Linked DNA regions of Mus musculus. The protein of the gene in region 1 interacts with the protein of each later gene in a biochemical or structural test. Links are inferred from orthologs where the notes say so. Each region holds a gene or a part of one and is shown on either strand. Other genes may lie near its edges.

Region 1 (6,646 bases):
AGAAGAATCGAGTGTAATATCACTTGGGTCTCATGACAATAGTCATCAGTTCATTCTTTCTGATGAATGACAGAAACACAGAAACACAGAAACACAGACATGGTAAATTGATTCAGCTAAATCTGCATCAGCACAAAGCAGTCTAGCCAGGATCAGAACATAGCTGCTTTTGAGATTTAGTGCCCAGTGTGCATATCATGTCACACTCCCCAAATTGGCACCAGACACTAGTTCTAAGATTTTTAGTGAACAACTACAAATTTTATTCTTCAGGAATCTTTACTCCAGGCTTCAAGTACAAAAGTAGGCCCTGGGCAAAGTAGGAAGCTCAAATCTGACTTATTTCAGCCTGATCTGGTAAAACACAGATGTTTCTGTGAGCTCATTTAAGGTATTCAGCTAAAGAATCCCTACTGAGCGATCTCAGTTAACAGTGTAGGATTCCTTTAGACAGAACCTAACCTGCAAGTCAAACTCAGTATCAGGTCTGCCAGCAAATCCTGTTTCTCGAGAGGGGCTGAATCAATGATTTCCAACGGTACCAGAGACTAGCAAAAGAAATCTTCCTTCAAACCAGTATGTTGTCACACCAGTCAATTTATTTATTTTTGAAACAGGAACTTCAGAAAGAGTATTTATATGAGTATAATAATCCATAATTACTTATATCATTTGAGCTCTGTTCATTTTGACCCATATACATTTCTTCTTCAACAAGCCTCAGTTTCTCTGAGGTAGTATACAATCACAAAGGCATTAAAACAAAAGGAAAATTTCTAATTGCCTTTGAAATGCAAAGATTAGAGTCAAATAAATTAGAGTTAAATAAAAGCATGACTGTAGATGGATGTTGTGATGTACACCTTTAATCCAGCATTCAGGAGGCAGAGGCACGCAAATTTCTGTGGGTTCAAACCCATCCTGATCTATAAGGTAAGTTTCAGGATAGCCAGGATTATGCAGAAAGACTTTCTCCAAAAACAAAAACAAACAGCAATAAAAACAAAACAAAACAAAACAAAACAAAACCAAACCAAACCAAAAAACCCACCACTACCAAAAAAAAAGGTACATATATTTCAAAGCCAATAAAAGTAAGCTTCTCTATGTCTTTGTTATGAATAACTATGTGTAATTAGTAATGTTTAATAACTTCCCTTAGGATCAGAATATATACCATCCTACATTAGGCTATTAGTATTAATCTTCATGTTATGCTTATCTGTTTAATCATAGCTCTAGCAAAGTAGGTCTAAGCAAGCTATGTGCCTTTGAAGAACAAACCACAAATGTGATTTCAACTAACAGCATGTGGTTTGAAAAGAGAACACACTTTATTTTTCTCTTTCTCGATAATGAGTTGCAAGACTGAAAATAAAGTTCCCTTGCTTATGTGGCTGAGATCTGCAAAACAGGAATTGTACTGGTCTCTCATCTGCTGCAAATTGTCCCCTGACATATAACCTTGCTCTGCAAAGATTTACAGGAAGTCCAAGGATTGTACAGGATTTTCAACACATAGTACCAAGAGAATAACCTGAATATGCTTTTCTAACTACAAAGTCATTGGCCAATAACAGCAGACCATGAGGCCCAGCTCTCTGCAAACAGCACTATATGTGAAATGGAAATTTCACAAAGACACTTGCAGCTTTCTTTCTAAGATTTTAAATATATAAATACATCAAAATAACTTCTTTTTCATCTTTGAGTGTATCTTAAATTTAGCTTCTCTTTATCTTTTCCAATAGGAACTAGCAAAAAAAAAAATTAGTGACTTCTCCATGATGTTTAGTCAATTTTACCAATATTTTCCCAAATGTCTAACACTTGTTCAATTTTGCAAGGCTCATTATCTGCAATAGATGTTCTTTAATCTTTCCATTTAAGTATAGACTAGAAGACATTTACAGTTTAGTCACTTATAATGGTTGCTAAAACTCAACTTCTATGTCTCAGCTGTCTGAGTTAAAATGTTTGTATCTGGTCTGCACATCTAAAAGAATTCAAGAAAATGCCACAGTGAAATTGCTGGTAAATTCTTCTTTTACTGTCATTCCCTTCTCCTTTACATCCGACTGTGTGTGCACGTGCACGCACACACTCACACACACACACATTTATATGCATTTCTATTTGCCCCTAATGCTATTAAAAATTTACAGAAATCAATTCCTTTTGTCATAAACTTTCAAGTATTTGAAAACTTTAAGTAATTCGCCTTGAAATACATTTCATTATGACAGCACATATAATTGTATTTCTAAGAGCCAAAATGGATTGTAAGGTCTCTGACAGATTACTAAGATGCTATATAATTTTATACCTTCATAATTAACAAGATTGTGGTTTTAGCAATTCATCAAAGCTGTACTTGAAGTTGAGAAATGACAGCATTTAAAAAAAAGTAAACTCACCACCTCCTCATGTCTGCATTTCCTCACATTAATTCCATTTATCTGCAATGAAAGGCAAAGCTCAGTTCCACATAGTGTGTTATAAACTGGCTTTTCTTTGCATCCACATAGATGATGATGAAATGCGTACCTGTAGAATTGCATCTCCAATAAAAAGCAGCCCCGACAGCTCTGCTGTGAATGAGAATAATTGAACACACCTTGGCATTTCTCAAATAAACAAAGGGGTTTTTTTCTTTTAATTAAGGGTAAAATTGTAAACAAAGTATGAACATTTTAGATCGCTAGCATTTTGTAGGGTCCACAAAGAGTAGAAACTCAATAATATGATTTAGTTCTTTTCAGTTGCTAAAATAGGCAGACATTTCCCTTCGGTCTAACAGTTCTTCCTTTATAGTCCTTATAACATGGTCACTACCCTCCCTGCTTTGTGAGTTTTCTTTTGCAGCAATGCCAATCTATGCTGCCCAAATATTCTTGGATGTGTGGCTTTCACCTGGACCATGGTAAACTTCTCAAGAGATACTGTCTGGAAAGAGTGGAGGGGGAAGGAATATTAATATGACCAAAGCATGTTGTACACAATTCTCAAAGATATATGTATATATGTATGTATATATATATATATATATGTATATATATATATATATATATGTGTGTGTGTGTGTGTGTGTATGTATATGACGTACATATATACATATATACATATATGTGTGTATATACATATATGTGTGTTTATGTCTGAAGGTATGTATGTGCATTCATTGAAAATTGATCACTCTTCTTAATGGGTGATCAATTTCTTTATGTATTTATTATATCTCTGTGCAAATACCTGAGATATAGACTTGATATCTGTCAGTTTCACACTTACTGAGAAATAGTATGTTGTTTTCCTGATTGTCAGTGAAAACTTGATTTGTATATTCATCATTGATGAACCTTCACAGGAATTAACTAAAATTGAGAAAAACGATTATATCTAAATTACTCCATGAAATGTGACTTAATTTTTGTGTCTTTAATGAACAGTTCAGAAGCTGTGAACTCCTCAGTTTTTATATGATCATTTGGACTGTTACATAGAGTCTATCAATTTTCCCTTTCTGTCCTGTAGGGGGATCCAGAAGATCTGGAGAATCGGATTTAGCCTCTCCACTCCTGAGGCTGGGAATCCAGGGAAGACATTCGTATACCACTCACTGAATTATCTGTGGACAAGACTTATAGCAGACTGGCCACTAAAAGGTTAGATAAATACATTACCTCTTTGCTCCTTAGATATTTTGGAAATGACAACCGGGATGTTATGTTCTGCACCTCCCTAGAAAGAGACAGTTATGTGTCATGTATTTAAGCTCTTCAAATTTCCACTTTTAGCCAAAACAATAAAAAAAAAAAAAACCAAACAGCAAGCTATAAATAGTGCATCAAGCGAACACCAGAGAGCATTAAAACAAATGCGTAGGACTTTTTAAGTGGCAGCATTTCCATAAAGTTTACGTACTCTGATAACACTTGCTAATTAATAAAAGTTGACTAAAAAAATTTATTTCTCAAATAAGATTGATTAACGTCAGTAGTGGCATTCTCTTCAAAGTCCTGTATAGGAATGCAAGACATCTTGACAGTTGTTACTCAGGATTCTAAACATCAGATATTTATACATATCAATTCTCTGATTACTTTATTTTCTCCTGCCTAGCAGGCACTCTTTCAGGCTACATTCTGAATGCTAAGTAGCCAGAGAGGCTCTTTACTAGCACAAGTAGATAAATAAATTCTGAGTACCAAGGGAACAGAACCATCTGTGTGTCCTAATTAGAATTAGATTCCCATGTGTGAAAGCATAGATTAAACAATTGTCAGTACAAAACACAAAACCAAGAACTCTATAGCCACACTCAGGTACTGGCTCAAATTTAAATGGAATGAAAGAAGAAGAATGAATCAAAGTTCTGATAAAATAAAATAAAAACAATTCTTAGAGTAACTGCCAGAAGAAGCCTGTCGTCTTGCCATTACAGTATAAGAAGTTTGATATGGTAGCTAAAAGCCACATGCATACATGAACAGCTGAAGTGTTGTATAAAGAAAACATGCACATGTTCAGCACAGGGGCTGAAGGAGCCGTCTAAAGGCACTGGTGCTGTTCTACGTTTACAGTAAATAACTCCTGAAGCTGCCCATAAGCATAAATACAGGATCTTAAGATACATTCACCCATGAGCATCCATTTGCAACACTAAAAAGAATTAGATATGTTACAGAAAATCACTTATAAAAAATCATTAGTGTTCAATTATATTTTTTAAACTTTTATTTATTTTGTTTTTACTACTGAGGTAATAAAAGTAAAACAATAAAACTATAATGTTATTTAAGTTGATTTTCAAAACCACTAATCAGCTTATTTTTTTAAACTTAATATATCTTACTAAGGAGCTCTATGTCCATTTACCCCAACCTTCATCAAATACAGAAAGAGGCAGTGTCATAAACTGGCATGGTCCTAATTCAGGACCCACAATTTAACCTATATTTGAAGTTCCAGTCCTGTCTAACGTGCATTGGTAAATAAAGTGTTGGGAAAAAATCTGACAATCACATCTTATTGGCATTGCTTGCTATTGAATTTCAAACAAAATGCAAAATGGTGAGCTGAAGGAATATCTGCATATGCAATACACAGTGAGAACCATAGCAGCAAGGTCTGAGGATTCATCCAAACACTGCACAGAGGGGCCCACACCTGGGAGACCTAAGAGTTGTCTGCACGCAGCATGCTCTGGGAATTATGAAGGAAGGTCTAATCAATAATTTGTACACTCAGTGTACAATGGGCACCACAGCAGTTTTCTGCTATCCTTAGCTAAGTCATTAAGTTTCCTTTAGCAGGTCTCACTATGCCTCTACTATGTGGCAACATTGATTATAACTGGAGCAAACAACAAGGGGTTGTTTGGGAAAAAAATATGTTTCCATAGCCTAATTTACATATCCTATAATTTATTCTGCATCAGTTCTTTGCCTGAGATGATAGCAAGTATATATAAAGTATGTTTTAACACTCACATTTTGAACATTGAAATTCTTATTACTACACATGGTCAATGTATTAAGTCATTTTGACAAAACTGACAAGAGGTGATAGGCAAAATTTCAAAATACCCTATTCCTGACATAGAAAACAGCAACTGGATAAAATTTCTTTAAATCTGAAACAAAGATTTAGTAAGTATATACAAACTGAAGAATTATTATAAATAACAGCCTTCATTTAGGTGTTCAGAAAGTCAGCTTGATCGAAAGAATTAAAGTTCTTTGATTGAGTCTTAATTATTCACATACAATTGAATTCTCTCAATTTTATCAATCATTTTAATGAGTGATACATCTTTACCATCTAACACCGTACAGATTAAAAAGCTCTTAAGTATCATAATAATCAAAACTTGGAACTGATAAGTGATGTTTATGAATCTTTTTAACAAAGTGAAAATCAAGCAAAAAGATAATTATGATAGATCTCTACTCCCCATGTCTCCAGGAACCCTCCATATGAGATCTGCCTGACTCTATCCATCAATCTTCTGTAATGGAGAAGAAGGAAAAAATGCTTGCCACCAGCATATTTCATCTTTATGGGAAGCCACATAAAGAAAGCTTCCAAGGGCTAGAGAGATGGCTCAACAGTTAAGAGCACTGACTGCTCTTTCAGAGGACCCAGAAACAACCTGGTGGCTCACAACTGTCTGCAATGGGATCAGTTGCCCACTTCCGGTGTGTCTGAAAACAGTGACAGTGTTTTCACATACATAATTTACTCACATACATAAATTAAATTAATCCTTAAAAAAAAGGAAGAAATGAAAGAAGGAAGGAAGGAAGGAAGGAAGGAAGGAAGGAAGGAAGGAAGGAAGGAAGGAAGGAAGGAAGGAAGGAAACTACCAAGTTTTACTTAACACTAGGTGTGATCCCAGTCTTTTCCTGTAAATCTAAATGAGAAGATAATGGATATCAGGTTCTGTAAGAACATCCCAGATTACAACCCACTCTACACATCACAAAACCATTCATTTTTAGTCATGAGTACCAACAACAAAGTATACAAAAGTTAGCCTTTACAGGGCAGTCTTTGAAAAGACAGACTAGAAGGTGACTACCTTTATGCTTAATCCGAATCCTCCTACTGTCTGTCTTCTGATGGTCACCGTTCTTTCCTGGAA
Region 2 (6,746 bases), on another chromosome or scaffold:
TGTCTTTTGAGTCTGACTGAGCAAGGAAGGAGGCCTGTGATGTTCAGCAGACATTTCTATTCAAGAGAGAGAATAGGTGTGAATTAAACATTAGATTAAACATTGTCAGGGTCGGTCTTCTATTCTAGCGGGACAGAAGGAAAATAAGACCAATCAGATATGTGGGTGATGTTCTGCTCAGATTTGTGTAAATAATATGTGAGTGCTGCAAAGGAGAAAAAGTAAGGCACAAAGGTTCAGGGTGTTCCTGGGGAAGGGAAGTCAGAGACCGTATCAAAGAGGAAAATGACAGTTGGGAGGTGGAGGCAGGCAGATGTCTGTGAGTTCGAGAGCAGCAAAGTCTACAGAGTGAGTTCTGCTACACAGAGAAACCCTGTCTCAAAAACTAAAAACAAAAGTAAAAATGAGAGGGGGGCGGGGAGGAAAATGACACCCAGTAGCACCAGATGCGTTTGGACTAGTCTCCTGGCTTGTGTACCCCGGTCTGCTTGGCTCTATCAGAGGGGCTGGTATCTTGCTGTTAAGTGTGTAGAAAGAAACCAAGGAGTATTTAGAATAAAACACCCAAGTACTTCATCCGTGTGAAGTATGGTGATGACGGGGCAGCGATGCTTCAAAGGTACTTTGAAGTTTACAAAGCCTTCGGTCCAGACTGGCTCTGGGAAGTATTCTAGCGTGCCTCTGCTCTTTCACTCCGTCCTCTTTCATTTGGTTTGCTGTCAGACTTAATCTCAGCATAGGAATATCTCACATGCTTACACTTTTTTCTTAAGTAACAGCGAAAGTACTTATGTTATATAATGAACTGAAGAAAGGGGGGTAGGGCAGAGGAAGAGCAGAGAGCCTTTTATCTTCTATACCTACCCTTCTTTCAGCCTCTGAACTTAAAGGCACATCAGGAATTCTCAAGTTTTGGCTGGACCCCAACCTCAAAGTAGCCCGGAGAATACTTCGGCTGTGTGTCATTGGGCAAATTGAATCCCTTCTCTGGTTTCTGTCACTGTGCATACATTTAACTCTCAGTGCCAAATAAGCTTTAGGATTCATTATGTGATTGCACACTGCTTAGTCAAATGGTAACGACAATCAGGAGAATGGCTCTCTCGTCCAACGCAGAGGGGGTTGATAGAGAGGCTCACGGCTTCAGGGTTAGGGATTTCCCATCACGAAAAGACACTGAACTTGAATTTGACTTTTAGATTGTGTTGGTTGAACTTAATTGCTAACTTGATGTGGGGGGTGGGTGAGGGGAGGGGGAAGAGAGGGAGAGGGAGAGGGAGGAAAGAACTCAGGGCATGTCTGTGAGGGAATTTCCAGAGTTTACCTGAGGAGATAAGACCCGTCCTGAATACGGGCCAGATGCGCTCTGACTGACCCTCATTCTTCTGTTACCGTACCTACCCTACCAGGATGAACCATGCAGACCCTCAACCTGTGAGCCAGAATAAGCCCATCCTAACTTAATTGCTTTTCTCTGTTACAGATTTGCAAACAGCCAATTCGTTATGTACATTCTAATCACTCCCAATGGAATCTCCTAGGGCTCCAAGGGCTGAAAAGCCAGGAATTTCTTTCAGATCTTCAAGCCAAGGAAAGTTAGCTCAAAAAACCTGAGAAAATCAGGTGACATTTGGATTTTTATGTGAAAACTTTTTTTAAAACTTCATCTATACATTCAGTTAAATCAGCAAAAGCCCAGTGCATGGGCCAAATGAAAGGGCTGCGCTGGCAACTCTATGGACTCTTTCAACCAGTCTGTAGATAAGGAAAGGAGTCTTCTTGCTCCCACCTGAAGAAGAGCCAGATGGCCCTCAGCAAGGCTGTGTAGCTGAGATTTCTAAGAAGGTAAGGTGCTGATCGTCTTCGATGTTGGAGATTTGAGGTGGAGAGTCAGCACGGGCAGTTTGCCAGTTCTACCCCTCCAGTCTCTCATCTAGCATAGCCTAGTTGTCCCACGTACACGACAGAGGAACCTTGTCATGAGAAAGGTTGATAAAACACTCTCAAGTGAGAGGGCATGATCCCCAGCTGTGCAGGATACAAACCCCCAAACGTTTATTGAGAGCCTCAGTGTGTGTCACTCACTGGGAAAAGTGGGGTATGTAATTCTCTCCCAGTTCTTTTGCATGTTTAAATATCTCACCTTCTTCAGGTTTCAGCTGAAATATCTCTTCCTTAGAGAATGCTGCTGGACAGGACATCCTCTCTGAAGCCTGCCTCCCTATCTCTATCTCTGAAGCTCATTCTTTTCTTCCACTTATTAAAATGTATAAGGATTGTATTTTGTAAAGGGCTAGCTCCCCTTATGAAACACAGGCTCCACGAGGGCAGGGACTTCATACACTGAGGTTGCTCAACAAATAGGCTGAATATTTTAAAATATCTCCTTGAAAGAGTTTTGAGCAATCCTTTTAAATTTCCTTGGCCTCTTGCATTAATACCACTATTTTAAGGATGAGGTGAAATTGCATTTTGAGAAAGAAATGGTTAGGAGCAAAAAACTGGTGCACAACCAGTGAATTTTATGTTTCTTGTACCCACTATGGGACAGCTTGCAAATTATCTGCAAAGGAACCAAACCTATTTTTAAAGATCCCTGTGCCTCGCAGCTCTAGGTGATGACATCAGAGAACCTCTAGTTCCACGTCCTAAGCCGAGCCTCGTGGTCCTCAAAAACTGCAAGCCCCAGGATGCAGCGCGGCATGGGGAACCCAGCGCCCCGCGCGCGGCCGCGAGCCACCACCCTGGAACTAGGAAGACGCCCGATTCCTTTGCCCGCCACGCCGCCGGGCGTGCGCGGAGCCTGTCGGGACTTGTAGTGTTCGCGGTAGGGAGTGCCCGCTCCGGAATCTCAGTCGCTGTCTGGTCTGGTAGAGGCAGCGCGTGCACGCGTGCGCAGTGCGCGGGCGGGCCGTCGTGGGCGCCGCTCCCGGCAGCTGGGTGCCTGAAGGAGCCGGGACCGCGGTGGCGCGGGTGCTCCGGGCGGAGGCCGCGGTAAAGTGGGGCATGAGGTGTGCAGCTCGGGTGTGCGTGTGTGGAAGGGGAAAGCGGGGCGAGGAAGGCAAGGCTGAGGCGGCCACCGGCTGCTGAGGGGGGCGCGGGGCCGCGCCTCCTCGCGCGTCCGCGGGCGCGCGCACCTGGGCGAGGCCGGACTCACCTGTGCGCGGGTTCCTCTGCGCCCGACGCCAGCCCTGCGGGTCCCCGCCAAGGCCCACAGCCCCTGGTGTCCTCGCTGCCGTCGCCGTGGCTCGGCCCCTGTCGGGGATCCCGGTGGCGACGCCTGTCGGAGCGGCGCGCCTCCAGGGCCGTGTCCGCCCCATCCGCGCCGCTCGCTCCCGCACAGCCCGGCTTCCCCGCGTGTGCGGACCGAGAGAGTGGCAGGGTTGGGAGTGCCCTGGCCAAGGTCAGGCGGGTGGGACCCGAGAGGCGCCTGAACTCTGGGTTCGGGACTTGGAAGAGGGCTGCCCTGCTCGGCTTCTGGTTCCTTTCGGATGCTTTCTATTGACCCTCCCGGGAGAGTGTCCGGGGAGAAAGTGGTGTCAGGTTGAAAGCGCCCTGCTGCTGTTCGCGGTGCTCCGCTTTTGGTAGAATCCTCGTTCTGCTCGACACCCAAGCTGAGGCTCCACCGAGGGCCGAGTAAATTCAGAAACTGATGTTGTCTGGGACCGAGTCCCGAGGACAGGTTTAAGGAACAGATACCAGGTAGTTTATGGCATTTCGTTTTCTAGTTCGCCTTCCCGTTCTTTCTAATACTTGCTTGGATGAGTTGGTCGTTATCTATCTTAATAAGATTTTCTGTACTCTTGTGAAGTCGTATTGCCCTTTGTAAATTAGTTTTCTAACCAGAAAAGCTTATTTCCTGTGTGTTTAATGACCGGAACAAATAGCCCACTCCAAGGTTTATACCATTGTCTTAAGACTGTAGAGTGATCTGCTCTCTAGCTTCCAGGCTTTTTACGTTGACGGCCACTGGACGAATCTGTAGCGAAGTTTAGAAGAGTGTTAAGTGACTCAGACGCTTTGGAAGTAAAATGAAAAACCATTTTTAGTTTACAGCTGGAGATGAACTATTATTTCAAAAATAGTAACACGAATTTTGAATACAGTGCGTCTTAGTTTATCTTACCAACAAACTTGTGGCAAACCATTTTCCCTCAAATTTAAATATTCCATATTCTGGACCAACTCTTCTACAGAAAGTTGATTTTCTTCTTTAAGAGCAGAGATAAACAAGAATAGTAAGTCAGCAGAAATCAAATTAATAGCTTATTTTATAGTGTTATAAACCCTACCCTGTGCCAAATGTCAGATTTCTATTGAAAAATAACACTGTTTCAGTGGACATACTGTGAATCTGTGCTTGTAAAGAGTCACTAGCTTGCCACACACAGCAGGGAAGTGATATACATGTTGCCTTCTGTCTCCCTTTATCTTGTTGGCTTCTGGTTTCACTGTTGCTGTTGGGGGGCGGGGAAAGCAGCAGGTTTGTATCTTTTTTTTTTTTGTCTTCTGTTTGGGTTTAGCAGTGTAGCAAAATAGGAAAGACTGTGCTGTGTACATCTGTTTGGCGGAGACTGAGACAGTGGGACAGGATAAGTATACAATTGTGAGGAAACGGCCATGAGTTCATAAGCAGGAAGGACCTTTTTAGAAGTATTTAAGGATGTTAAGAATAGCATTGGATTCTTTAAACAGTTACTGTGGGCAGTATTCAAAGATAGGATAAGATGCCTAGGGCAATAGGAAGATACTTGGGAAAGGTGGAAACTTACATCTTTATGTGAGCTTTGCTGCTGAAAAACTGACTACTGGGCCTAAGGAAGTTCTTTACTGTTATGCCACTACTCAGATTGTAACTCTTGTCCTCCCCCTTTAGAATTTATAATTCAGAAGGAAATCTAAGAAATAATTTGTTAGTATAATTTAAATCAGATTTTAACATGAACTTGTTGAGTAGTGTGCATTGTCTTATTCTCATTTAAATAGCTCTGTAGTGTAAGAATGAGGAGAAAGGCTTTTGGGTGGGATGCAGTGACTGTCAGATGTGTCAGAGGCTACTCTGCTTTGGCTAGTAAGTTTCAAGAGTTGTAGCAGGGATGTTTTAAGCATCCACTGGTTGCTAGCTAGGAGCTGAAGATACACAAATAATCACCTTCCATATGCCTGAGCAGTACATTTTCTGGCATATCAAGACTTTATTTAAAATTTCAAAAATTGGTTCTGATCTGCAATAATAGATTAAGATTGATGCAATAGGAGAGAAACATCCAATTTTAGTTTTCTTTATTTAATTTTATTCATTTATTTCCACTGCTTGTGAGTAGATAGCATTTGAGAACAGAGTGACTTGTGTATGCAGTTACTTCATGAGGCGGAAGCATTCAGGGGCTTTAGAAGCTTGCCTATAGTGTGCTCAGTTATTTGTAGGAATATCTGTATGGGATGTGTTCATATAAGAAAAAGATATCCTGCCGATATCCTGCCAAGCAGTGGTGGCGCACGCCTTTAATCCCAGCACTCGGGAGGCAGAGGCAGGCGGATTTCTGAGTTTGAGGCCAGCCTGGTCTACCAAGTGAGTTCCAGGACGGTCAGGGATACACAGAGAAACCCTGTCTCGTAAAAAAAAAGAAAAAGATATCTTGTTGAAGCCACCTATAATCTCAGCACTTGGGAGTCAGAGGCAGGTGGATCTCTCTGAGTTCTAGGCCAGTCAGTCTAAATAGTGAACTTCAGGGCTTAGGATAGCCAGAGCCACATAATAGAAAAAGCTTGTCTTAGAAAGACAGACAGACAGACAGACACACACACACAGAGAGATCCTGTAGAGCTAGAGAGAGAGATCCTGTAGAGCTAGAGAGAGAGATCCTGTAGATAACTTGAGAGAGAGAGAGCCTGTAGATAACTTGCTATATAACTAGACTCCTTCAATTCAAGAGTAACTAAACAATTTAAGGATTAGTAGTTGTCCGTGGGGGGTTCTGTGTGATAAAGAATATGTGCATGTGTACATTTGTGATTCTTAGAATATATTTAAATGAACATTTGATGAGCCATTGGACAAATTGAATAGCTTTAACTCCCTCCCTCCCTCCCTCCCTCCCTCCCTCCCTTCCTTCCTTCCTTCCTTCCTGTATTTTTCTTTTCTCTTTTTCATTTTCTTCTAAGACAGGGTTTCACTTTGTAGCTCTGGCTATCCTAGAAGTCACTGTGTATATAGATTAGACTGGTCTCAAATTCAGATCCGCCTGCCTCTGCCTCCTGAGTGCTGGGATTAAAGACATGCAGCACCACTATCTGGTAAATAGATTTTAAAAGATAGTATTTTGGTGATTTTTTGAGGGGGGGGGGTTCGAGACAGGTTTTCTCTGTATAGCCCTGGCTGTCCTGGAACTCACTCTGTAGACCAGGCTGGCCTTGAACTCAGAGATCCACCTGCCTCTGCCTCCCAAGTACTGGGATTAAAGGCATATGCCACCACTGCCCGGTGGTGATTTTTATTATTATTTTTCTAGAATGTAAAAGAAATTTAGAGTCATTTAGGATTTGGAATTTTTTTTTTTTTAGAGTCAAATACTTTCCAAATAGAACTTTTAGTATGGATTGTCAATCTGATAACTTCACACTCCAAAAGTTGTGATTTTTATACCTCTAGTCAACCTTGCTTCTTATAGTGAGGGTAACCATGAATTCTCAGTTCTGGATTTTGTTTAGCCTCTTCTTTTTTTTTGTTTGTTTGTTTTTTGTTT

The links. The genes of interacting proteins can lie anywhere in the genome.
Region 2: the proteins of Sntg1 (region 1) and Plekha1 form a complex in vitro, tested with the Homo sapiens proteins (2 studies listed by BioGRID and IntAct, with this or other methods). The link is inferred for Mus musculus from reciprocal best matches to the Homo sapiens genes SNTG1 and PLEKHA1.

What each region holds. Positions count from the first base shown.
Region 1 is NC_000067.6:8,675,390-8,682,035, forward strand, and holds part of Sntg1 (gamma-1-syntrophin), read right to left. Parts: intron 6,641-6,646; coding exon 6,584-6,640; intron 3,742-6,583; coding exon 3,684-3,741; intron 2,592-3,683; coding exon 2,548-2,591; intron 2,460-2,547; coding exon 2,418-2,459; intron 1-2,417. UniProt on the Homo sapiens protein: Adapter protein that binds to and probably organizes the subcellular localization of a variety of proteins. May link various receptors to the actin cytoskeleton and the dystrophin glycoprotein complex.
Region 2 is NC_000073.6:130,862,990-130,869,735, forward strand, and holds the start of Plekha1 (pleckstrin homology domain-containing family A member 1), read left to right. Parts: upstream 1-2,734; 5' UTR 2,735-2,994; exon of another isoform or gene 2,995-3,011; intron 3,012-3,077; exon of another isoform or gene 3,078-3,724; intron 3,725-6,746. UniProt on the Homo sapiens protein: Binds specifically to phosphatidylinositol 3,4-diphosphate (PtdIns3,4P2), but not to other phosphoinositides. May recruit other proteins to the plasma membrane.